Xenopus tropicalis: one gene and its partners. The protein of the gene in region 3 interacts with the protein of the main gene of each other region in a biochemical or structural test. Links are inferred from orthologs where the notes say so. Each region holds a gene or a part of one and is shown on either strand. Other genes may lie near its edges. The genes, in order: grk6, magi3 and adrb2.

Region 1 (7,833 bases), about 4.8 Mb from region 3:
AAAATGGGACTACAGAAAATAGATCTCTGCAAACCTAGAGTACCAGTTTTACTGGAAATTTGGGGTTGCACAAAACTAATGTAGCAAAACACTAGGCTAGACATTAAACTATTTTCCCAGGATTTCCCTTCTTGAGGTTGACATTCATAGCTACATTAAAACACCAGAAAAATGTATATGAATTACTTTGTTTTTGCCCCCTTCTCACTGGTGCCTCAATGTATTGGGCAGTGCTGCATACAGAGGGGTAGCAAGGGAAGCCCTGTGCAAAGCCAGAGGCTACAAGGTGCTGGGAAGAGATGTAATTACAGGTTCCCTTTGCAGCAACGTACTCTTTAACTTGCACCTAATTTATTAATCACACTCAAGGTGCAAAGCTTAGTCTGAACTAACCTTTGCCATTGGCATAAGTGCTCCATGTATCTCTATAGTAATTTTGTACTTGCACCAGTAGCAGTGGTTAATAACCCCTACAAAGAGTGCAATTAAATTGTGCAATAGTACTTTACAAAGCATGTTCAGGATAAGCTGTCTTTTTTTCTTGCTGAGAAGCTATATGATCATTGTTTTACCATAGAAAACAGCAAATAATGAATCTAAAATTCAAGAGAGATTAAAATATATGAGCGGCTTAGTTATTAGTTTTACTTAAACCAAGATACATTGGCTTTAATGGTATACATTCCTTTCATAACTACCCCTTTTTATAATGCCATTTATTACTTATACAGTCTTTAAAAGTGTTCTCCTACTTTATGTGACATTAGAGAAGTGGCACACAGGGCCCAGCAGAAAACAGTGGAGGACCTGCCCCATCTGCATCCCTCCTAAAACTATAGATAAAAAAGTGCACTATTGATGTACAAAGAACAGTGATGGGTGGTCCTGGGAGCCAAAATAGGTCATTTGGCACAAGTCAGAAAATTCCAACAAGTCTTTACAGGTCAACAGTTTGATCTGATCATTGGACTTAAGGCCAAATAATCAGATCTTTTTGATTGTAAGATCTTTTGAAAAAGGGCCCACTTGTTCCCTGTATACTATACTCTATTTATTGCACATCTCTATAGGATATGTTAGTTCTTTATAAATACATGTAAATAATAATCAGCCTTAACTGGAATTCTTTTAGACGAAAGCCCTTTATTATTACCTGTCTGCTAAAGAAACGCTGAAGTAGTCCCTTTTTGGGTTGTGGGGATGGTAGCCCCCTCCAATCCAGGTCAGGTGGTATGCTTCCATCTGTGGGCAGTGCGCTTAGCTCCCAAAAACAGTCTGTATCCACCATCTAAACAAGGCATATATAGATATAGATTCACTGTACACTGACTGAGCAATGATTCCATCCTCCCATGCATGTCTCTTACACACCTCATTCTGCCAGGGAATGCAGATATTGCCTGTGGCAAATTTTCGGTAGAAGTCATTGTCTGTCTGCTCCAGATCAACGCCCTTTACTGTAGAGAACTGCTCTATATCCAAGACATCCTTACAGTAAATAGCTTGAGGCTGAAAATAGATTTCAGATGTTATTACAAATATGACTTTCAGTTGTGCATTAAATATTAACAGTTGACTGTATAATTATTAATGAATTTGTCTATAGCCCCCTGACCCCTTAATTGCCATGAAATAAGCTCTAGGCAAACAATATACTTACTACCCTATAGTATTTGCACGGAGAGATGTGGTATGTAACTTACATCAGGTTTGAAGGGGGGCTCCAGTATCCCAGCTTCAAGACGCTTAAAGTTTATCTGCTTAAAGAGGGGATGCTCCTTCACCTCCTGAGCGCCTCTTCCATGGCACCCTAGGCGCTCACTGGGGTCTTTCAAAAGTAACTGTAGTAAGAAGCAAAATATTCAACTCAGAGTTAAAGAAAAGCAAGCAAAGCTGATTCCCAACTACAGGTATAATAGCTTTTAGCAGGAACTACATTACCTCAGAAATGCCAATTTCTTGTGTCCGACTAAAATGAATGAATTCTACACATCTGACTGATTTGCTCTTTCTCTGTATGGGTTTAGGTATACAGGCAGTTTTCTGAAAATACCCATGCTGCCTCCTATTCACTTCAATGGAAACATTTCTTTACAGTACCCAAAAAATGCCCTGGTGAGAATTTTCCATTACTGGTGCTGTGAGCCATTGACCTAATAATAAAAGGTACTTTGGAGTTTATAACTAGCACCAATTCCTGCTTGTAGCAAAGCAATGCTTCTGGGGTGGCTACAATTTTTTGTAAACCTTAAAATGGTAGTAAATAACCCCAGACGAATCAATGTAAACTTGCTCAAAAAGCTCTTCTACTCTGCTATCATGAATTTGCAGGAACACCCCTACTTTTCTGTCTGGCCAACCACCCCATGGTTAAATTACTGATTTCTCTGCCCAGTGCTCTCTCTCACAAACTTGTTGGATTAAACCATCTGACAGGAGGAACAGAAAGAGCAGCAAGAGAGCCAGGAGACGTTTCCTCCATCAGTAACTAAATGGGGGGTAAGATTCCTATGGCAAATTTGAATTAAGATGTCTCAAAAAAAGTAAAGAATCCCCATTTATGTTTGGTACAAGTAGATATTCCAAAGCATTCAAATGTAATAACTAAATCTTTCTACTCCATAGTAACAAAATGGAGTTAGAGCTTTTTAAAAAGTTTCAAAAAATAGAATTAAATTTTGAGTTGTGGAAATTATGGGAACAAACATTTAGCAAAGATTGACTGTTTGCTAGTTGAGGGTACAAAGACATATTTCCCCATCTGAAATTCTTTAGGATCTTTCACATTCTCAATATATTCTAAACCTGAATTTATTACTGCATCCAATCACAGTGCAGTGCATCTTGAATGTTCCTTTCAGGTACAGGTAGCTGCTGTTTGTATGTAGCCTTGGACTTTGCAGAATTCAACAATTGAAAAACCCCAGGGTTGCTGGCTGGTCACTTTCCAGCTGTCACACAGGGAAGACACATGATTGGTTTTCCAGCTGCCGTGGTGCGTCCCCCATTTATAACTCTTGTTAGTTTTGACAGATTTAAAAGTGTGGTGCCACTTACAGAATTCTGTGCTCTCCTATGGAGACTCGCAGCCAAACTCAAAAAAATCCCATTCTGACCGCAAAATCATTGTGTTGTTTAGAAAATCACGTATTGCTTATTAAATCATATCTACCTATGCTCTCATCAAGAGGTATCCAATACATTATAAACACTTTTTTTTAATTTTTAGATGGTTAAATACTTCTTATAGGTATGTTGTTTTATGTGTGGGCAGAGGTAAATTTGCAATATTGCTTAGAAATGTACTCAGAATGCTCCGTGTTGGTCTCATCTGACCACACTGCAACGGGGTCACTCTCTCTTTGCTTGCTGACTAACTCTGACACGGTTCTTTCTGAGCAATGGCTTCTCCTGTGCCACCCTAATTTACAGGCCACTGTACAAAATTTGGGATATGGTTGACCCATACATATAGAAAAGTGGCAGCATCATGCTGTGGGGGACATCAGCAGCAGCCAGAACTGGGCATCTTAAAACACAAGGAAAAATGCATAATGCAAAAAACAGGTAAAATACTGCAAAAGAAGCAGTTTTATAGCTGACTGAAACAAAGTCTGGGGAGGCAGCTCCTATTCAGCAGGACAATTATATGAAACACAAGTTGCTTCAAACATTGGAGTCATCCAACTAACTTGGGGCAAATCACTCTGGAAGTATAGGCCAATATCCCTCCTGAACTGTATGAAACCTGCTATGCACTTAACCCAATAGGCCTGTGGGTGTAATTGTAGCCAAAGGTAGATCTGCCAAGTATGGACTTTTTGTTTGATGAACTTTTGTATTTTGCACCTTCAAAGTGTCAAGTATTTTGAGTGAATGGAAAGAAATTCTAATAAAATCAATTTTAATTCTAGGTTACAAGACAAGAAAAGAATACTGCAAAGGCACGGTATTTGCCTGACAACCATTAGAGGAAATCTAACAAAATTCCAGCCATACAAACGTTAAAAGAGAGCACAGAAATTCTACGGAAGATATTTTGTCTCATGCCAAACAGGAAATTATAGACTGGCTGTTTTCTCCTGTCTAAACTTCTATTCATTTGCTGGCAGCACTGAGCTTACAATACTGGGTGATTTTCTCTACTTACTGCCATTGTGTATCAAAGATAGAACACATCCATGCCAACAAAAACTTGCAGATAAGAAGAAAACAGCAATTACTGATGCAAAGTATTAAGGAACCAGGTACCTCTCCATCAAACCGCCATGAAATACACCAAAGAGCTCAAAACCGTCCCTTGATTATGATCAGTTTGCATTTTCTTTTAACTTTACACATACGGCCCTGTAGTTAGTGTAGTGGGTTAAAACCCAAGGAAAAGTGAATCACGTTAGTTGCCCTGTAGATCATGCACTGCTTACTCAGAAATTCTCTTGGCGTGCTAAAAATGGTTTTACACAATTATAACTGTTACAACGTATATAAAAATGAAGCAGTTTAAAGCCATAGCTACAAATGCGCAACTGGACTGCATTCATTCACACGGATGAGACTACATGGTGGCTGCTTTGCCTGTGATTGTCACTCTTCCTTCTTTACTGAAAACCACCGGAAACCTCAATGCTGCCAATAACGGAGATGGATAATGCACCGTGATGCTTAATATAAGGAGTGGGTGCATATAGACATACACAGAAACAAGAGAAACAACATGCTACATGCTGGGAAACAGCAGCAACTGTGAAGAAACCTTGTAATGTTACTGATCCAAAATGTTGGGCAGCTGTAGACGTAGGGGCTGTTGGATATCATCAAACGATAAAGAGAAAATGACATTACTTCTGCCATAGAAGCTGAATCTACAGTGGAGATATAAGAACTCTTAAAGAGCACTTATAATAAAATTGCTTTCCCCGCCAGAGGTGCCGGCTCTCCGCTTGGGGAAACAATCGTTTTTAAGAAATAATACAGCCCCCGCCAGCACTTGGCCACCTGCCCCGGGTGGGAGTTCCCGGTGCAAGAGGCCATCTTACCATCTGGCTCATTATATGCATTTGTGTGACATAGGAGTGGTGGATTAGCCCGCATCTGTGGTTGGGGAAGTAATTTGAGGGTGATCGGTGCCTTTTAAATGTTGAGGAGCAGTGGTGGCTTTTACCTGGTACAGAATCCAAACACATAAAAGGTGCATTACACACACACATTACATTTTTCTAAACAGACTCATTTTTGGAAGAGTAGTTTTTTTTTTACGTTAGCTCTAAGGAACGCACTCACCATTTTGCATAAAGATTGGGCATCAGGTGAAAACTTTGCAGAATACTCTTCTTGCCCTTCCTTTACCAGCCTCTCAACCTCTTCCCGTTTTATCTTTCTTTTTCTTTGCTGGAAAGGGGATTGGCCCTCAATCATCTCATATAGCAGACACCCAAGTGCCCACCAATCTGGGCTGAAGGTGTATCTCTCATTTCTCACCACCTCTGGAGCTGTATAAGGAAAAGAAATAGGTCTCAGTGTTCACACTGCTTGGTTATTATTATTGTGGCTCGTGTTAAGGCACACTCACCCATATATCCAACAGTCCCTACTCTTCCCTTAATAGTTTGATCTTCTGGAATATGTACTGCAAGTCCAAGATCTGAGATTCTTATATGTCCTGTTTAAGACATTGAGAACATTTTAATATCAGTTGAAGTGACAGAATGGACCAAGTAGCATGAAAATGGTGTAACAGTGTCACACCACAGGCACATATATTAAAGTGAACCATACATCACATCACTTAATGGAACAAACACATTTGTCTTTTGCTTTAGAGACAGTAACAGGAAAGGCCACCAAGAAAGAACAGCTACATTATTAGAAAGTTCTTCTCTCTCTCTCACCACTAATAGGATAGTTATGAGCATGTTAGGTCTTTTACTGAGTGTTACAACTCACTGTGACAAATGCACTACTCTGCCCTGCTAAAAGGACCACTCAATAAATCTAATGATTAGCAAGTGTCATATTAACAAGAAATGTATTCAGACGTATATCTAAAAGTTTGCAAAAATAATTATTTTACAATAATACAAGCAGTTATGTGAGGGGGAAATAGGAGTTAATCTAAACTGTCAGTCTGTAAAACCCCCTGAAGAATGAACAATTCCTTATCTGTAACCCTGAAACATTGGTTGCAGCAAGGAGAAGGGAGAAACTCTTTTATAAAGATCTCTAATCAAACTCTTCTATGAGGTGGTAAGCACATAAAATGGATTTGATTCACCATTGGTCCAAGTGAAAGTGCACTGAGAAGACTACTGTCCAGACAAATGTCTAAAAGCATTGGTACGCTCTTTGATAGGCTATTGTTACTCAAGATGCTTTCCAGGCTACTGCCATTTAAGTTAAAGGGTGGTAGGGGTGCAAGATTTTTAATATTTTGTTCCCCTACTCTCAGACCTACGCCCATTTGTACCACTGCTTTTAGGGGATAAGGAAGGTTGTGGTCAGTAAAAATGGGGGCTGGTAAGCAAAAGGAAATAAGTTACAGATTCACTTCTTACCACTTCCAGCAGGCAAATAAAAAATAAAGGAAAAGTGTTAAAAAATAAAAAAACAACAATAATTCTCACAAAGTGTTGCTTACACACAGATGAGAATACATACCGTCATCATCGAGCAAAATATTTTCTGGCTTGAGATCTCTGTTCATAAAGAAAATAGAAACCAAATTCTTACTTTTTTCTCCCGTGCATTTTCATTAACATAAATAAATATATATGTATGGGATCAGTTATCCGGAAAGTCGTTATCCAGAAAGCTCTTAATTATGGGAAGGCCACTGCCATAAGACTTCATTTTAATCAAATAATTCACATTTTTCAAAATTATTTCCTTTTGCTCTGTTATAATAACCTGTACCTTGTATTTGATTCTAACTAAGATATCATTAATACGTTTTGGAGGCAAAACAATCCTATTGTGTTTATTTAATGTTTAAATCATTTTTTGGTAGACTTAAGGTATGGAGATCCAAATTATGGAAAACTCCAGGTCCTGAACATTCTGGAAAACAGTATCAGTCCTGATTCCCCAGTCCTGTGTTCAGGAGTGACCCAGCTTGCTCTCCCTATATCTTAAGAACCTCATTTGGGATAGCAGCGCTAGGGTAGCAGCGCACAAGTGAATCCTTCCAAAGTGAATAATTCACAAGTGAACTGGAAAAGGAGTTTAACAAGGAGTTCAACAAGAGGAGCAACAGGAGGAACAACTAGGGAAGCAACAGCAGAAGACCAGCCAGCCTCAGTCCATTTGAATCAAGACCCAGTTTACTTGCATAATGTCATTGCTCTTATTAGTTTTATCTTTCATGTTTGTGCTTCCAAAGGTAACTTCTTCCTTTCACCCCCCAGCTGACTGTCCCTACTCCATAACAATATCTCCCTCTCTCCTCCATTCTACACACTGCTGCTCTTACAATCTTTATACATTTTTGAAAAATCTAGCACCTCCAACCAATACCTCACAAAAGCATAACGATTTTAAATCATTCTCACACCTCCTCTCCCTCTCCTTACTGCTACTACTGGCCGCAGGTGATATCTCTCCCAATCCTGGTCCCTGCCGTATACCCATTTCCTATCGCCCACGCAATGCTTCTCCTCTGGTAAAACTCACAAACCGCTAACCTGTCTAACATTATTCACATTCCCACTCTCTCCTCTTCCTATCTCCCCTTCTCTTGTGCCCTTCTCAATACCCGCTCTGTAACTAACAAAGCCGCTTTTATTCATGATCTGTTTTGCTCCAAGTCTTTTCACCTTTTTGCCATAACAGAGACCTGGC
Region 2 (7,833 bases), on a different chromosome or scaffold from region 3:
TTTTTACTTAAAATTTTTTATTGTTACTTTTCCTTCTCCTACTGTAACCCACTCGGTCCCCCCCCCTTGGGAATTTGCTTTGATTTCTGGCTTGGCAGACATGCTCAGTTGTTCTAAGCTCAGATTACTAAACAAGCCCTCCAGTCTAGCAGCCAGTAAAGAGATGACATTGCTGGTTCCCATAGAAACTCAGCTCTAGCTGCTATTTGCTTTAGAAAAATGTGATGGTGTTAGCAAGCAGAGGGTATCTATGCAGTACAACTGATGCCATTTGGGTGGGGGAGGCATGCCCAACTGATATACATTGTAGGCAAATATAGGCTTCACATGTCCTTTAAGTCCCTAATAAACAAACCATAGCAGCCATGGTACAAAACTCTGTGGCACACCCAATTTTAGTCAGGATGCTGTTTAACATACACTCTTCCTGACAAGCTCTCTATCCATATATGTTTATGGGCATATTTATCATTGTATAAACAAATTATCAAACAATCTGTACAACCTAATTCACCTTTGTATTTTATGGGTATTTCTGGAGATTCTTGCATGGAACTGTACCTGTACCAATTGAAATGACCAGAAACATTTCCAAAACATATGGACCTTCATTATAACAATTGATGTTCTGAAAATGTATCAAAATAAATTGCAAAAGCAAAGTTTAGTTGTTTTCAGATCGTACATCAGAAATAACTTTTTATTTAACCTACTTAAACTTTGCTGTTCCACTCCCTGGTGTTTCAGTCTGGCCTCTCAGGCCAGGTTCAGGTTTAGAACTGTTACAACTTGCTACATTAGTTGCTACATTTCTCTGCAGAATGTCGAATGGTACCCACTATTATATCAATTATAATATAATGACACATAAGAACTGACTGATATGTCAGTGATATGTGATATGATAGGGACTTTAAATTCACAGTCCCTGCCACAGGTACTGATGTGAATAATGTTGAATCTCTGTAAAGCACCGCTGTATATTTTTGCACTTTATAAATAATGATTATCTTTCCCTACAATATTAAAAAAAAAAAAAAAAAGTAAATTACTGTAACAGTAAATTATTAAAGGGAAACGAAAGGTAAAGTCACTTGGGGGTGCCAAAATGTTAGGCACCCCCAAGTGACTTTAACCGCTTACCTCGTACCCCGGGCTGGTGCCCCTGTTGGGAGAAAACAGCACCAGCCCGGGGCACCTGGAGCGCAGCGCTTCCGTGTTCTGGCTTCCTCTTCCTGAATGCCAGCCGTGGGCGCATGCGCAGTAGAGTGAAAAGCCGACTTTAATGTTTAAGTTCGGCTTTTCTCTCTACTGCGCATGCGCGCGCAGCGAAACAAGAGGAAGGAAGCGCCGGCAGCTACCCCGGGCTGGTGCTGTTCCCTCCTCACAGGGGCACCAGCCCGGGGTAAAAGGTAGGTGGTCAAAGTCACTTGGGGGTGCCTAACATTTTGGCACCCCCAAGTGACTTTGACTTTCTTTTCCCTTTAAAGACATGAAAACATGAAAATATCATAGTCCTTTATATGGTTTTGCTGCTCTCTCCTCTTACCTCCATCCTCACAGTCTTCTGGGGCTTTAGCTTTCTTACACAGTCGAGGATCTAGCCACGTGGTTGTTTTTGTATTGTGACTAAAAGAAATAAAAAGCAACTGATTTTATTAGTGAATTAAATCAAGAAATAAAACAACTGACTGTTGTGCAATAGAGAAAAAAGGAAACAATTTCTACAAACAAACACAAATACAAAGATTATTAGATATCTTTTTAAGTTCAAACCAATTTTTGGTTTCATAAAGCCTTGCTATATATATTATTGGCTATAGCAAACAAAATAACTATATATGAGATTCAAATATTTAAGATACAGTAGTTAGCAATATTGATTCTACCCAGGGCACCATCTACAAGAAGTCTAAAAGTTCTTCCAATTACATGAATATTGAACACTAATAGTTAAAATAGCTTTGTGCATAACGTACTTAGCAAGTGAAATATCTGGCAAACCTTTTGTATGTTATAAATTAGAATGTCCTATTCTTAGCAGCTATTTAATTGGTCTTAAATGGGAAACACTTACCCTAACAACCAAAATCTATTGCTCTGTGAGGTTAAAATTTTATTTTTATTGCTACTTTTTATTCATTATTTTTCTGTTTAGGCCCTCTCCTATTGATCTTACAGTAAGTCATTAAAACCACTGCATGACCACAGCAACCAGGTGAATTCCATACTGGACATCTGCTGACTAAAAAGCTAAATAATTAAAAAAAAACCCACAAAAAATGCAAATTGTTTCAGAAATGTAATGTCTACATTAACCTAAAATATAATTTAAAGGTGTGCAACCTATTTAAAAATGCAAGCTCTTATTTACTACTAATTTCAAGAATTCTAGAATGGTTACATATTCTTTTCTAGAAAAAAATTGAGAAGTGCATGCACATAATGTGTTACACTGCAAACAACACATGTAACATAAGGTGCAAAGTTTGCTACAGTTCCAATGACAACCAATCAGCAAGTAACATTTACTGGTCACCTGTTTAAAAGCAAATATCTTATTAGATGCTATGGGTTACTACACCTTTGCGGCTTTTGTTACATGGGGGGCGGTTATGTTTTAGATAAACTTCCCAATTGCTCCCTCAAATACAATACTTGGACAACTGTGTTTATGGAAGATCCTTTTACACTCCCTAGTAATTATAATTATTTAACTAATACCTTTGGGCTGTGCTTCTATTTGATAAAAACTGCACTGACCGGTACAACTAAAGGAGTGCCACTGTGGCGATTCTACATTAGCAGTCCAGGCCAGTTCTCAGCGAACAAGAGCATCAGCCCGAAATCTCTGGTTTAATCATCATTAAAGAATAATTTGCTTACTCTATAAAATAGATCATTCCTGCTTCAGTGTAAGCCATTTCCCAGTTCTTTGGAAGGGGCTCCAGGTTTTCATCCCGAGTTAGGTAGTTCCTGAAATCCATAGAGCTATTAGTTTGGTTGTAGCTCGGAACAGTCTTTCCCCATTCTGATGGTTCCTGTCTGTCTCTATGGTCTGGTAAAATGAAAATAACAGAAACATAAACAGTGACTGGCATGAAAAAAACAAACCCCAGTTAAAGGTTTAATTTAATAAAAGAAAAAACTATTTTTTTAATATATTTTTTCTATTAAAAACAAAAATATGAAACCGCATCTAGTTTCTCTACAGCAAGCCTGAAACACAAAATCCCCACATATCACAAGCACATTCTTTTAGGGGCTCATGATTACAGATATTTTTGTGTCTGCTACAGAAACACTACAATAGGTTATATAAATAAGCTGCTGTGTAGCCATGTGGCTAGCCAGTCAAGTTAAAATGGGGATAAATAGCACAGGTTACATAGCAAATAGCAGTTTTACCAGTAAAAGACAGCAGTATGTTTAAATTACTTTAAACAATATAATTTTTGATGGGATTGAAATCTCTATATTTTGCAATCTGCCAGAAAAAAACAGCTTTTTAGCATGCTCACATTTTAGATATCTGCATATGTTGTGTTGATCACTTTGTATTCTGCACTGTATTCAGCTCAGTAAATAACTAAAACAGGTGTGGTAGAACCAAAGAACACCTAGCCCTATTAAAGGAGACATACATGATAAGCAGGGGAAAAATCTTGTAGGCTATAATGAATAATATATGGTGCTGGTTTCACTCTGGGCTAAAAATAATCATTATCTTTAAAAATGGCACCTTTATTACTTCAAATGAGGCATGGGTGTGCCCTAGCAGTCCCTGCCTGAAGCACAGTAGAAGAGGGATAGCCCAATCACAGCCCTGCAGTCACACAAACAAAGACAGGCTTTAAGGTGGCCATACACGAGCAGATCCGCTCGCTTGGCGATGTCGCCAAGCGAGCGGATCTTCCCCCGATATCCCCACCTACGGGCGGGCGATATCGGGGACCATTTAGGTAAAAAAAATAATAATCCGATCGTTTGGCCCTGGGGCCAAACGATCGGATTATGTGGGCGGCAATGGGGCAGTCAGATTTTCTAACCTGGCCGATCGAGATCTGGCCATTCTCAGGCCAGATATCGGTCGGCCAGGCCGCTCTGCTCTCCCCATACACGGGCCGATTAGCTGCCGAATCGGTCCAAGGGACCGATATCGGCAGCTATAGTCGGCCCGTGTATGGCCACCTTTAGTTCCCTATCTGGTCTGCCTAGCTGCTGATTGGCTCCTATCCTACGGTGCAGTGTGCTGAGTGCCTCCAGCTATTGTACACAGTCTGGGAAAGGAGGGAGCAGGGAGTTTAGGGGTTTTAAAGAATCTTCATTAAATTAGCCGGAAACATATTTTTTAAAGGAACAGTAACACCAAAAAATTAAAGTGTTTTAAAGTAATTATTAAACAATGTACTGCTCTGGTAAAAGTTGTGTCTTTCCTTCAGAAATACTGCTGTAGTTTATATAAATACGCTGCTGTGTAGCCACAGGGGCAGCCATTCAAGCTGAAAAAAAGGCGCAGGTTACATGGCAGATAACAGATAAGTTCTGTAACGTACAATGGTGTTTTACCCGTTATCTGCTAAGTAGCCTGCAGGCATACCTTCAGTTGTCTCAATAGTGCCCTTAAGTCTCCCCATATTTCACCTGTTCAGAAGATCTGATGCCAAACAGGAAGAAAAAACGCTGAGCTGTGTAAAGCAAGTTCACATAATGCCTCACTCCTGCACAGACATGCAGACCAAACTGAACATGCTCAGTTAGTAAGACTGTGAGTCAGCTTCCTGCTGATTGGCTCAGATCCACATTCCTAAGGGGGGGAGGAGTGAGTTCTTAGCATTCTTGAGGGAGGGGGGAGCAGGAAAGAGCAGAGAACAGAAAGCTGCATGTCTCTGAAAAAAGATTAGTTGTGTCTGTAATTCCTGTGCCAGAGAAGTCAGTGCAGCGTTTCTGTGAGTGCATATGGCTGTATTTACATAGACCTTTCTGATAAAGCTTACTTTGTATTTACCTTTCTTTCTCATTTATATTTAGAGAAGTATAATGCACTGGCACATTCTGTTTTTTAAACAATATATCCCCTTTAAACAAACAAAAAGAGTGTGTCTTCTCAAGTTTCAAGTATCATCCTCATACTTTTCATTGGATTAAGAAGTTATTGTGCGGTGAGGTATGCATATGATATCACTGCAGACCTAATCCATTCTGTGCCCAAGTTATATTCTCAAAAAGGTTCTACTTTTAATAATTCATGCTGTCATAACACCAAACACAATTTTAGGCTGACCTGTGCTTCCACTACTGCCATTTACTGCCTCTCTTTCCTCTTCATCTTCTTCTTCTGGGAGAGAAGAGTCTGTGCGCTGCATTTTGCTGACTGATGTAGTCCTTTTTCTCTGGGTTTCTGTGTCAAATTCACCATCAAATAAGACCTGATCCACAGGGTCTGCCTGGAAAGGATTTGGTTCTGCAGGTGGTTTAGGGGTTCCATAGAAATTACCTGTACATTTAAAATAACTTTTTATCGGCCATGATAAAGAAGCATGTATAAAGATGTAAAAATCTACTCAGCTTTCAAGTTAAAGGGCATGTAAAGGCAAAAGAGCAACATTGCTGCTTCTATACCTAAAAAAAAGCATATTTGCAATGTACTTTAATTGGAAATCTTGTACCGATCCTTTAAAAAAACGGCCAGCCAGAAATGAATGGTGCTGCTCCGCATTTGGAGGGCAGGGTAGCACAGCAGGGTTGTTTCATTTGTTTATTTATCATTGAGGCTAATCTCAGTAAGAAACAACCCTGCTCTTGCTTCCCTGCCCTTCGAAATGCGGAGCAGCACTGTTCGTTTCTGATCGGCCAGCCATGAAAGGATTCCTGTGCACGGCTTCAGGAGGGAGAGGAGATGAACCCAACATATAATAAATAAAAAACTAATATTTTACTCTATACAGATTTTAATATTTGTTGACATTACACAGAAAAAAATGTATTAAAACAATAAAAAGTAAAGATCCATTTATGACTAATTAAAATAAAATAATAAATGAGGAATATTAAGTAAGCCAACTCTCTGATCAAGATATCAAAATAGCATTGGCTGTATACACACCATCATATGTTCCACTTTCCAGCAACACTCCGCTGTCCTCTAAAGCCTTAAACTGTTCAACGGAAATAAAATTATAATCTACTCCAGGAACTTCACCATCTCGCGGGGACCTTGTGGTACCTAAACAGGAATAAGCAAGAGATAATTTAAATTTCATTCATTCCAAGTCAGTTAATTAAAAAACAGATGGGGGGGTGGGGTTTGTGTAATGTTTTACCCTGTGATGGGTGCTTGTTATCATGCTGAAATTCTGGGTGGGGTGAGGGGATCAGCATTGACAAAGATAGATGTCCAATTAGTGCACTTTGCATGTCGTTTATAAATGAGCCCTATTGTTAGCATTTTTATGCATGGCAACAAACACCTAAAAGTAAGAAAGCTCATTAAACCTGTATATTTCTATTAATACAATTTGTACTAAATTTAAACCCCAAAATATGAATAGCCCCCTACAAATGATACAAACAATACACACCAGGAAAGTATCTGTTTTTGTGAATCAATGATGTAACACATGGAGACTTTATATTTGGAATAAAGATATTATGGAGAATTCAAAAGTAAACTAACAAAATAAAGAACTCCCTTCTAGAGCACAGCATACCAATTGCTGCAAACATGTCAGTAAAAATAAAATGGTTTTACATCCTTGTGCTAATTTCAGAGCTCAATGGAAGAGAATGTTTATTAATTTTGCCCCAAATGACATTGCCCTGTGATACACTAAAGCATGATTGTGAGCCTGACATGGCTCCCTAAATACCAATATTAGAACTAAAAAAAATGCATTTGTTGGATCAAGAATACAATTTTAAATGGTAGAGTGAATTAAACAGTGTAATTTACAAATAAAAAGTGCACCATAAAAATCATGACAGAATCCCTTTAAGCTTTTTAATACATTAATTAAATATGATATATTGATTGATCAGAAGCATTTTGACACTATTTTTTGGTTTAAAGATTTTTAAAGTAGGGACGACACCTCCAGGATTTTTATCTAATAATGTAGTAACACTAAAAAAACACACAGTATTCTTCATGAGTAATTCATGAGCATGGGTAATTTTGCCCCATATGGCATTGTCCTGTGATTGACTAAAGCATGAGGGTGAGCCAGGTTATATTCAGAGGAGATTGTTATCTTTTTTTAAATTGTATTTTGGACTTTGGAAAATGTAATAATAAACGTACTGTTGTTTTTATTTAAAGACAAGGATAGGTTAATTCACAGGTGTTTATAACCAGTTAGGCAGCCCTCTGGCTCAGAGTTGCGCAAGGAGTCCATGGGAAATAAAGTTAAGGTTGCAGCAAGGTTTCCGTACAGCTTAAGGGCAACTTCACCTCTATATTATGATGTATTATATTATAACTCATCCTATTTTTAGCAACTTCCTAAAGTCTTAATTTAACGTTTTTTAATTATTTACCTCCTGCTGGTATCTAAACTGCATTTAAATTTTATCAGGGTCACTAATCACAACAAAATATCACCTATTTATAATATAACTGTATACCTTATAACCAAAGGTAATTTTTAACAACCTTAAAAAGAAATTCAGCATATATACAGATTACTGTTCCAGCCAAGGGGTGCAGCAGCCCTATAAAAGTAATTCACACCTTCATAGTCGACCATAAGCAAAAGGCACTGCAAGGGCACAGACCTTCACTGCTAAAGGACAGTAGTGGCCTTGTACAGAATATCATATCAACAATTTCTAGCT
Region 3 (7,933 bases):
TGAAAAAGGCTCAGGCTAAGACCCTTCATCAGTAGGTTCTCTCTGGAGAAAAACAATGTTCTGAGAGTTGTCATTCACCAGTATGCGGGCTGCATGCTAGAAATATCAAGTCTAAGTATTTATCTACTACCTACTGCAAATGGCTTCATACCCCCCAGTGTCAGCAATCAAGAGGTAACACAGGTCTAAGTTCTGGCACCCAAGGGACCTCCTTTTTACGTTTTACACTGAATGTGCATGTTATTCCCCAGCTCTGTCATGCATTAATTTCATTATAAGCTTACGAATGCCCTGCCAGCAATCCTATAGCTCTATTTAAACTGCAACTTCCTACAACCCCCAAGAGATGAAAGGGACCATTGGTTCTAGTTCAACAACCACATAAGGGCTACAAGTAAAATCCCTGGAGTAACAAAATGAACACACTTCGGGCCATTTTCACCTATGCAACCTTTCTGCTGGCACACAGAAGTGTGCACCACAATAATCCACTAAATAAGAAAATTCAGGCAATTTTAACTGTGCATTGCACTGAAGGGGCTGACGCTCCCTGTGCTCCCGGCTTGAGTCAGTATGACTTGCACCTGTTCTGGTTCATGTCAGGCTTTGACAGCACAAGGATACTCCGATCCAACCACCAGGGAATGGGTTATTTTCTTTTACTACTTTCTTTAAACAGCCAGCCTAATATGCACTCATTAGACTACTCCATAACACTAAAAATAAATTGCACTATGCAGCAGCTTCCGTAGGAGCCCTGTGACCGCTATAGGAATCTGAGGCTGCTGAGAGTAAATCTTTTCCTAAGTCACTAGTATTTCCTACTCAGCGACCAAACCAACCTAGCGCTTAAGGAATGCCGTGCGTTCCCCTATTGATAACATGTCAAGTAGCATGCACTCTGACATATGGTAACCCTACTGCTGAACATATATTGATCTCCTTTGAGAATCACCTTAAATGCATAAAGGTCAACAGTATTTTGTGATCGCTGAACGGTAAACACACTAATGTTTTAGGCAATTCTTATCTGCAAATCTCTAAAAAACAAGAGAGGGGGTGGGGGAACACACAAACACAAGCCAGATTAATAAATAGCACAATGACCTTTAATAAGAGCAACATACAATACTGTAAGGCTTGGAAATGTGCAAAAGAGCTGATCTGCTAGTGACCCTGTGAGCTGCGCAGAGGAAATGTATGGAACAGACATGCCTTGTGCGATAGGGAGAACTCAGCCTGTCCAGCAGGGCGTATTAAAGTGATAGACCATAATAATTTGTAATGTCCTGTGTCTGTAGCCTATCAACTATTTTGTTTTTATATTCTTATTTATGAATGAGCCTCTGCTTTACTTCCTTCGTCTGTGGTTTCCTAGTTTATGCCTAAACATACCCCATTAAATCTATACTGAGTAGAATCATTGAAGAGACAAGAGGAAACAACCCGCAAGCTTGTCTTTAAGTGCTGCTGAACTACAACTCTCAGAATCCTACCACTGTCATGGGCAACTGCTGAGCACTGTAGTGCAGTCACATCTGGAAAGCCCCATATTTTGCTCATAACCCAGAGATAACTGATTAATTACCCTGACAGGACTTGGTTTCAGCCAGAGATCAGACACTACAGAACAGCAGTAGGAACATCTGTTCTGCCCCATCTAGGAGACAAGGACTCATTTATCTCGCAAATAGGGATCTAGGAGGCTGGGCTCACCGAAAAAACAGATTAGTTTGCCATCAAGAAGGGGATGGGTCCTCCACTCAACTTTGGACTTCACTGCTAAAATTAGATGAACTAAGTTAGACCTTTAACCCTTCTATCCTTAAAATACACTTTTGGTTAGAGGCTCCAGTATACGTGACAGTCACTGCAAATGTCAAATTGCTTATAAAAAGTGCCACTTTCCAACCTGCAACAGAGGGGTTAAAGGGGAATGCAAAGATTGGCACAAACCTAAAAGGGTGGCTGGAAATGTATTGAGTTAGCTCTGCGACTTTTTTTTTTTTTTTTACTGCATTTCCTCCCTGAGAAACCATGAAAAAAAAGAATTTATTTACAGGTGCAAAAGTACACAATGGTGGTAACTATAGCAACTATTCTGATATTATTTTACATGGTTTCACAGCAGCTTGCAAAACACGACCAACCAAAGCTGGTTGCTATAGGTTACTGCAATTGTGCCTTTTTGCACCTATGCTGAATGACCCCCAAGGGTCTCTCCTGGTTGCAACACACAGTTTTCATCAGTCTTATACAGAATATACGTTTTCCTATCTCTCACAACCCAACTTTTGCAATTTCAAAAGTTCAAAATATTAAGCTCAGCACATTAACCCCATCATTACTCAGGAGAGCTATCTCAAGGAAAGTAGAATTAACCCTGTCCCTTCCGCCAACAGCAGCTGTTTTTTGTATTATTAAGGGGTAGAAAAGGGGGGAAAAAGCAAGATTTTTTTTTTTTAAGTTTCAGAATTCTTGAACTTAGAATTCAATTTTTTTTTAAGGGTTTGAGGTAGATTTTTCTTCAGTAAAGTACACAGGGCAGCAACATAAAAATATAAAAGCCATTACATTATAACAAAAGATCTCTTACCTTAATTTAAGAGGAACTGAAAATAGACAGAAATGTACATTTTCTCATAATAAATTTATACATTCTGCAAGACATGGGCACTGCCCTTCTGCAAAATATACATATATAATATACATATAAAAACATTTTCCTTTGTATTATACATTCGGATATCTGGTTGACCCTTGTATTGCAATAATCCAGTTTGTTGTAATAGTTCAAATATTAAAAAAAAATCGACAATCCTATAATAAGCAATCATGCGTGTTATGATTCTTGCCCAGTGGTTCCAAGCTAAAATCTAGAAGAGTACCTTCACAGTTCAAAAGGGAGGGATTGGGAGTTTTCTCCTCTTTAAATAAAACTTCACAAGTCCTGTCTTTAGAATACTGACAAGGTTCTGTGTCTTCGTTGTATGCACTGTTCCCATTGCTCTGGGGGTACCCATTGGCATAGGCTTTGGAGCCCGGTTTCCTTAAGCACAGCAGCTCCTGAAAAGTGTATCTGAAATCTGGGCTCCTGCAGTAGATTAACGGGTTAAAGGCAGAGTTGACATATCCCACCCAGTTCAAGAAGTTGTAAACTTTGACAGGGATAAAGTCTTTGTGCATCACCTGGACAATGTTGACTATAAAAAAGGGGAGCCAACACAAAGTAAAAGTGCCCATTATTATCCCCAAAGTCTTCAGTGCCTTGTGCTCCTTCAACCAAAACTTTGAGGTCCTTTTATTTCCTTGCTTACCATTGGTGTCCTGTTGGTTATTCTGGTTGTGGAACCTTCCCTCGCTTTTGTCTATTTTCTTTAGTTGTTTTTTGGCCTCCTGGAAGACCCTTGCGTAGACAAAAATCATGACCACCAGAGGTAAGTAGAAGGAGATGATGGAAGAGGAGATGGCATAAGCAGGGTTGGTGAAGAAAAAACAACAGGAGGGGTCATCATAGCAATGCAAGGCACTCTCCTCCTCTATCCTATACCAGTGCATGTAGATGGGGAGGAAAGAGGTAAGTGTGGACACCACCCACACCAGCAGGATGACAATCCTGGCTTTGCACTTGGTCAGGAGGCTCTGATACCTGAATGGAGAGGTAATGGCGAAGTACCTATCCACTGCAATGACGCAAAGGGTCTCTATGCTGGCAGTGACGCAAAGGATATCCACTGATGTCCAGAACTCGCACCAGAAGTTATTGAAAACCCAAGTGTCCAGGATGATGGAACTCGCTCCGAAGGGCACCACTATCAGCCCCATCAGCAGGTCCGCACAGGCTAAAGACGTGATGAAGTAGTTGGTGACCGTCTGCAGCCTCTGGAACTTGGCTATGGCAGTGATCACCAACACGTTGCCGAGCACAATCACCAACACGATGCAAGACATGATTATGCCCATGCCCACCATCCACGCATCCCCGGGCTTATCGCTGGCGTTGCTAGTGTTGGAGACGTTGGAGACCAGCTGTTCGAGGGTGCTGTTAGGGTAGGGGCTGGCGGTGACCCGCTGTTCCATAGCTTTGCAGTCCCTTTGACTTTACTTCCACTTGTTAGGAGTCGGTTGGGTGTGACACGCAGCGCTGAAAGTACTCCTGCCCCGCGTATATCCAGCGCATTTAGCCATGGGGGAGGCGGAGTTGCCCGGTGTCGTTCATTTGTGCCCGTCCTGTTTGTGGGGCGTTAGACATGGAACTACCTCTCTCTCCTGAGAGTCTCTTCTGATTCTGGGCTGTGGGCTCGCCTGCTTTCTTTTATTAACACCCGCCCTTACGTCACAACGGGCTCCAGCCAATCCCCGGAGAGCAAGAGCGGGATACCGCGTAACACCGGCTGGTCGCTGCCTTTCTCTTTTCCTTTCGGAAGTTGCCTGCGCTAATAGTTAGCTGCGCTATACTGCGCTATACTGCACGGCGGATCAAACGGTGCCACTTACAGGCTTTAAGCAGGGTGGGCTCGAAGTTGCACGGCAGTGCATCTAATCAGTTGCTGATGTACAAGTACAGCCCCTGGTATCCCCCGAGAGTTCGAATTCTACAGCTACTGGGGCTGACTGGACATTACTGGACTCTTTCTGCGATTGGCAGATGTTTAGCTATGTCCAAAGTTTGATGTTTAGGTACAATTCCCACCATTGATTAGTTGGATAGCTTGTGTTACATATCCCCCTGCTTTAGGGTGAAGACACACAGAGCTACTAGTCGCAGCTTCTTTTTCACAGCTACTAAACGCCAGAAAATACCCTCCCATGGACAATACTGAGAATTGCCTCTGCTAAAACACAGGTACAGCCAATTATCAGTAAATGATCAGCATTGTCTACTTTAGTATATATACTAGTAGCTCTGTGTGTCTTCACCCTTAAGCGTCACATAACCAGCTACTACTTGTATTTTATTTATGATTTATTTCTTGTCATTCTTTTGCCCAGTGTATCTGATATCTGTGCAACACCTATTCTGCATTGCAGAGGCTATTGTGGCACTATGCGCTAATGGGTAAGGGCAGTGAACAGAATAGGAAACAACGTCAATCATTTAAACACTAAAAACAGTCAGAACTGTAATTTATGTACAGAGTTGCAGCTATGAAGGCATGCTGCAACCAGCTAACCCATTCCCAAGGGCAAAGCAATAATCAGAGCAGGGAGGGTGAAGACTATGGTGGCCCCATACTGCTAATTGTTGCACCTCTGCTTTCTTCTAATTGTTGCACTGCAGCCAAGAGCAGAGCCCATGGGCATATACTGTATGTATGGGAAGAAAAGAAGTCGGCAATAAACCTTCGGACTATGTATAGTAATTGTATCTACAGCTGTCATAAAAGATATGTTCAAATTCTTCTTCAGTGCAGAGTAAACTTGCAAAAAGTACAGAGAAAATAGAGCTGCTATATTGTATGTGAGTGTACTGAAATAACTTGCCACCTAGGTAATTATTAAGTGAGAGTTTTGCTTTTGGCACATATTAGTGGTACCAGGGGGGCAAGGGGCTACTTAGATCACCCCATTGCCGTAGTAGCTTTTGTGGTGATGTGGCCCAAAAAACTCACTCGGCAGGCCTTTCAGCTGTTGTTGAACTACAGGTCCCAGAACACTAAAGAATTCCCCCCCGTATTCAACGGTCATTGGGTGCTGGGAGTTTAATAGCAAAAAAAAGGCTCATCTTGCTTTACTCCCCCTACTATAAGCAGCACTTCCTGCCTCCAGTCCGGCTTGGTGGTGGACAAAAGATGGACCCTGGAAGTCACCCTTTTTTGAATCCCCCAAAGCTCTGCCGATAACAACCGATGAGAATCAGCCAGCAGGCAGCTGTAACTTATGTGTACAGTACAATGCTATGGGAATAGCAGGGGGAAAGTGAGTAACTCTTGTTGTAAGTACACATTTAATTAATTTATTGCAATGGCAGGGTTTTTTGGCTCCATTTCAGCCTCCTTACTGTAATGTCTCTGCGTCTTGTACCATGTTGTTTCTCTGTTGCTTTTTACCATTGTGCATAAGATATATACCATTTTAATGTATAAATAAAATATCATAGCCTTCTGTCTTGCATTATCATTTTATATAATGTGGTCTCTATGCCATTTAGTCCATGTGATCCTCTTTAACCAGTGGCAGAACTATTTAGGGGGCAGCAAGTTCAGCCCAGCTTTAATAAGTCAAGGAGGCATACCAAGCAGTGAGAACGGTGGAAGAGTATGTGTAAAAGGCGGAGAGGTGTAAAAGTTTGCATCTGGTTACATTACTGCTATTGACAAGATGGCATTTCTTCCTGCAATAGCCAGTGGCAATTCATATAAAGTGTTTTTTTTTTTATATTCCGAACCTGTAGTAATTAAAATACATGAAAGCCAACTCCCAGACTTATCCAGGGTCTCTGAGAAAAGGGTTAAGAAACCCCAAATTAGTGGATTTGTATGCCAATTAAGAATTTTATCCTGGGTTTGTAAATATACACATGGATCTTCAGTCTGTGAGATTAGGAGGCTTGTAGCCTATCTTTATTACAAATCCCAGAATCCTATAACATCCTGTGGGATTATCAATTCAGCCTTTGATGGAAAACAGCAGGATACAAGTACAGCTTTAGGTGTAACTAGTGAGGCGTTATAGTATTTTACAGCATCATTGCCAACTTTCTACTGGGCAAGTTGGGCAACTGAGTTAAAATAATAAATAAAAATTCCTATGCTTTTTAGGGGCTGGTAACTCCTTGACCTTTGTGACAAGTACAGTACTGTATATCATACCCATTCATAAGGAACTAACATATATCAAACCAGTAAAATGTCCATAGTGAAAGCATTAGATGGTCCTGAGCACAACATTTTAAATGAAGAGGTCAGGAATTAAAAATTACTGATTTCTAAAATAAACTACATTTCCCAACATTCCCTGCCAGTAGAGCAGCGGTTCTTAACCTGTGGGTCGGGACCCCTTTGGGGGTTGAACGACCCTTTCACAGGAGTCGCCTAAGACCATCGGAAAACACATATTTCCGATGGACTTAGGAACCAAGACACCGCTCCTCTATGGTTGGGGGTCTCCACAACATGAGGAACTGTATTAAAGGGTTGAGGCATTAGGAAGGTTGAGAACCACTGCAGTAGAGTGATACGATTGATCTTATAGCATTAGCTAGAAGAGGCTTTATAGCCATGGAGAAAGGTACCTGTGGGATCTACAGTATCTTTTACTTCTGCAATAACAAGGTTGGTAACTGGTGGGGAACGGGTTAAGAACCATACAATAAAACGGTAAGGCTTTCATATTAAAAATGTAGGGTGTACAATACATAGTGCTGAAGTGTGACAAAAAGGTTGCATATGATACTGTAATATTGAGTGTAAATAATACCGAAACATTATTGTACTGGGGAGTTATTTTTTACTTTACCCTTCCCACTTCCTCTTTTAAATACTTTATTCTGCAAACTTAATAGAGAGCAGGAAGTAAGAGAGAAATTTTAAATTGCTTCCTCAATCACAAAGTTAAAAAAAATAGCACAGGCAACGCAGCCAACCATAGGTTCTGGCAAACCCAATGCACAAATGCACAAATATGTTTTCCATTTTAAAAGATCTATAATTCCATTTAGAAAACTGGAAATAATGGGCAGCTTTTTGCTACCCCTGAGAAATAGCTGCCTTGGTCAAGGCCACTTTGCCTTGTGGCAGAAATGGCACTGGATAAATAATTAAAGGGGCACAGTTTCATTTTATTAGTTTTTATATTTGATCATCACATTCAGAAATGTTTTCACTGCTTGTGTTAAGTATTTATAAATATTGTTGAGAATAAGTGCCTACCAGAGTCAGATTGTGCCGCCGGGACACCAGGCAGGGGACCCTGCGGGTGATTAAGGGGGCAC

Evidence for each region.
Region 1: the proteins of adrb2 (region 3) and grk6 form a complex in vitro, tested with the Homo sapiens proteins (2 studies listed by BioGRID, with this or other methods). The link is inferred for Xenopus tropicalis from reciprocal best matches to the Homo sapiens genes ADRB2 and GRK6.
Region 2: the proteins of adrb2 (region 3) and magi3 form a complex in vitro, tested with the Homo sapiens proteins (2 studies listed by IntAct, with this or other methods). The link is inferred for Xenopus tropicalis from reciprocal best matches to the Homo sapiens genes ADRB2 and MAGI3.

Annotation. Positions count from the first base shown.
Region 1 is NC_030679.2:45,789,243-45,797,075, reverse strand, and holds part of grk6 (G protein-coupled receptor kinase 6), read right to left. Parts: intron 6,693-7,833; coding exon 6,655-6,692; intron 5,660-6,654; coding exon 5,570-5,659; intron 5,490-5,569; coding exon 5,281-5,489; intron 1,842-5,280; coding exon 1,704-1,841; intron 1,510-1,703; coding exon 1,372-1,509; intron 1,289-1,371; coding exon 1,154-1,288; intron 1-1,153.
Region 2 is NC_030678.2:62,335,370-62,343,202, reverse strand, and holds part of magi3 (membrane-associated guanylate kinase, WW and PDZ domain-containing protein 3), read right to left. Parts: intron 6,227-7,833; coding exon 6,107-6,226; intron 5,498-6,106; coding exon 5,285-5,497; intron 3,059-5,284; coding exon 2,887-3,058; intron 1,630-2,886; coding exon 1,550-1,629; intron 1-1,549.
Region 3 is NC_030679.2:41,026,016-41,033,948, forward strand, and holds adrb2 (beta-2 adrenergic receptor), read right to left. Parts: upstream 4,291-7,933; 5' UTR 4,081-4,290; coding exon 2,821-4,080; 3' UTR 1,090-2,820; downstream 1-1,089. UniProt on the Homo sapiens protein: Beta-adrenergic receptors mediate the catecholamine-induced activation of adenylate cyclase through the action of G proteins. The beta-2-adrenergic receptor binds epinephrine with an approximately 30-fold greater affinity than it does norepinephrine.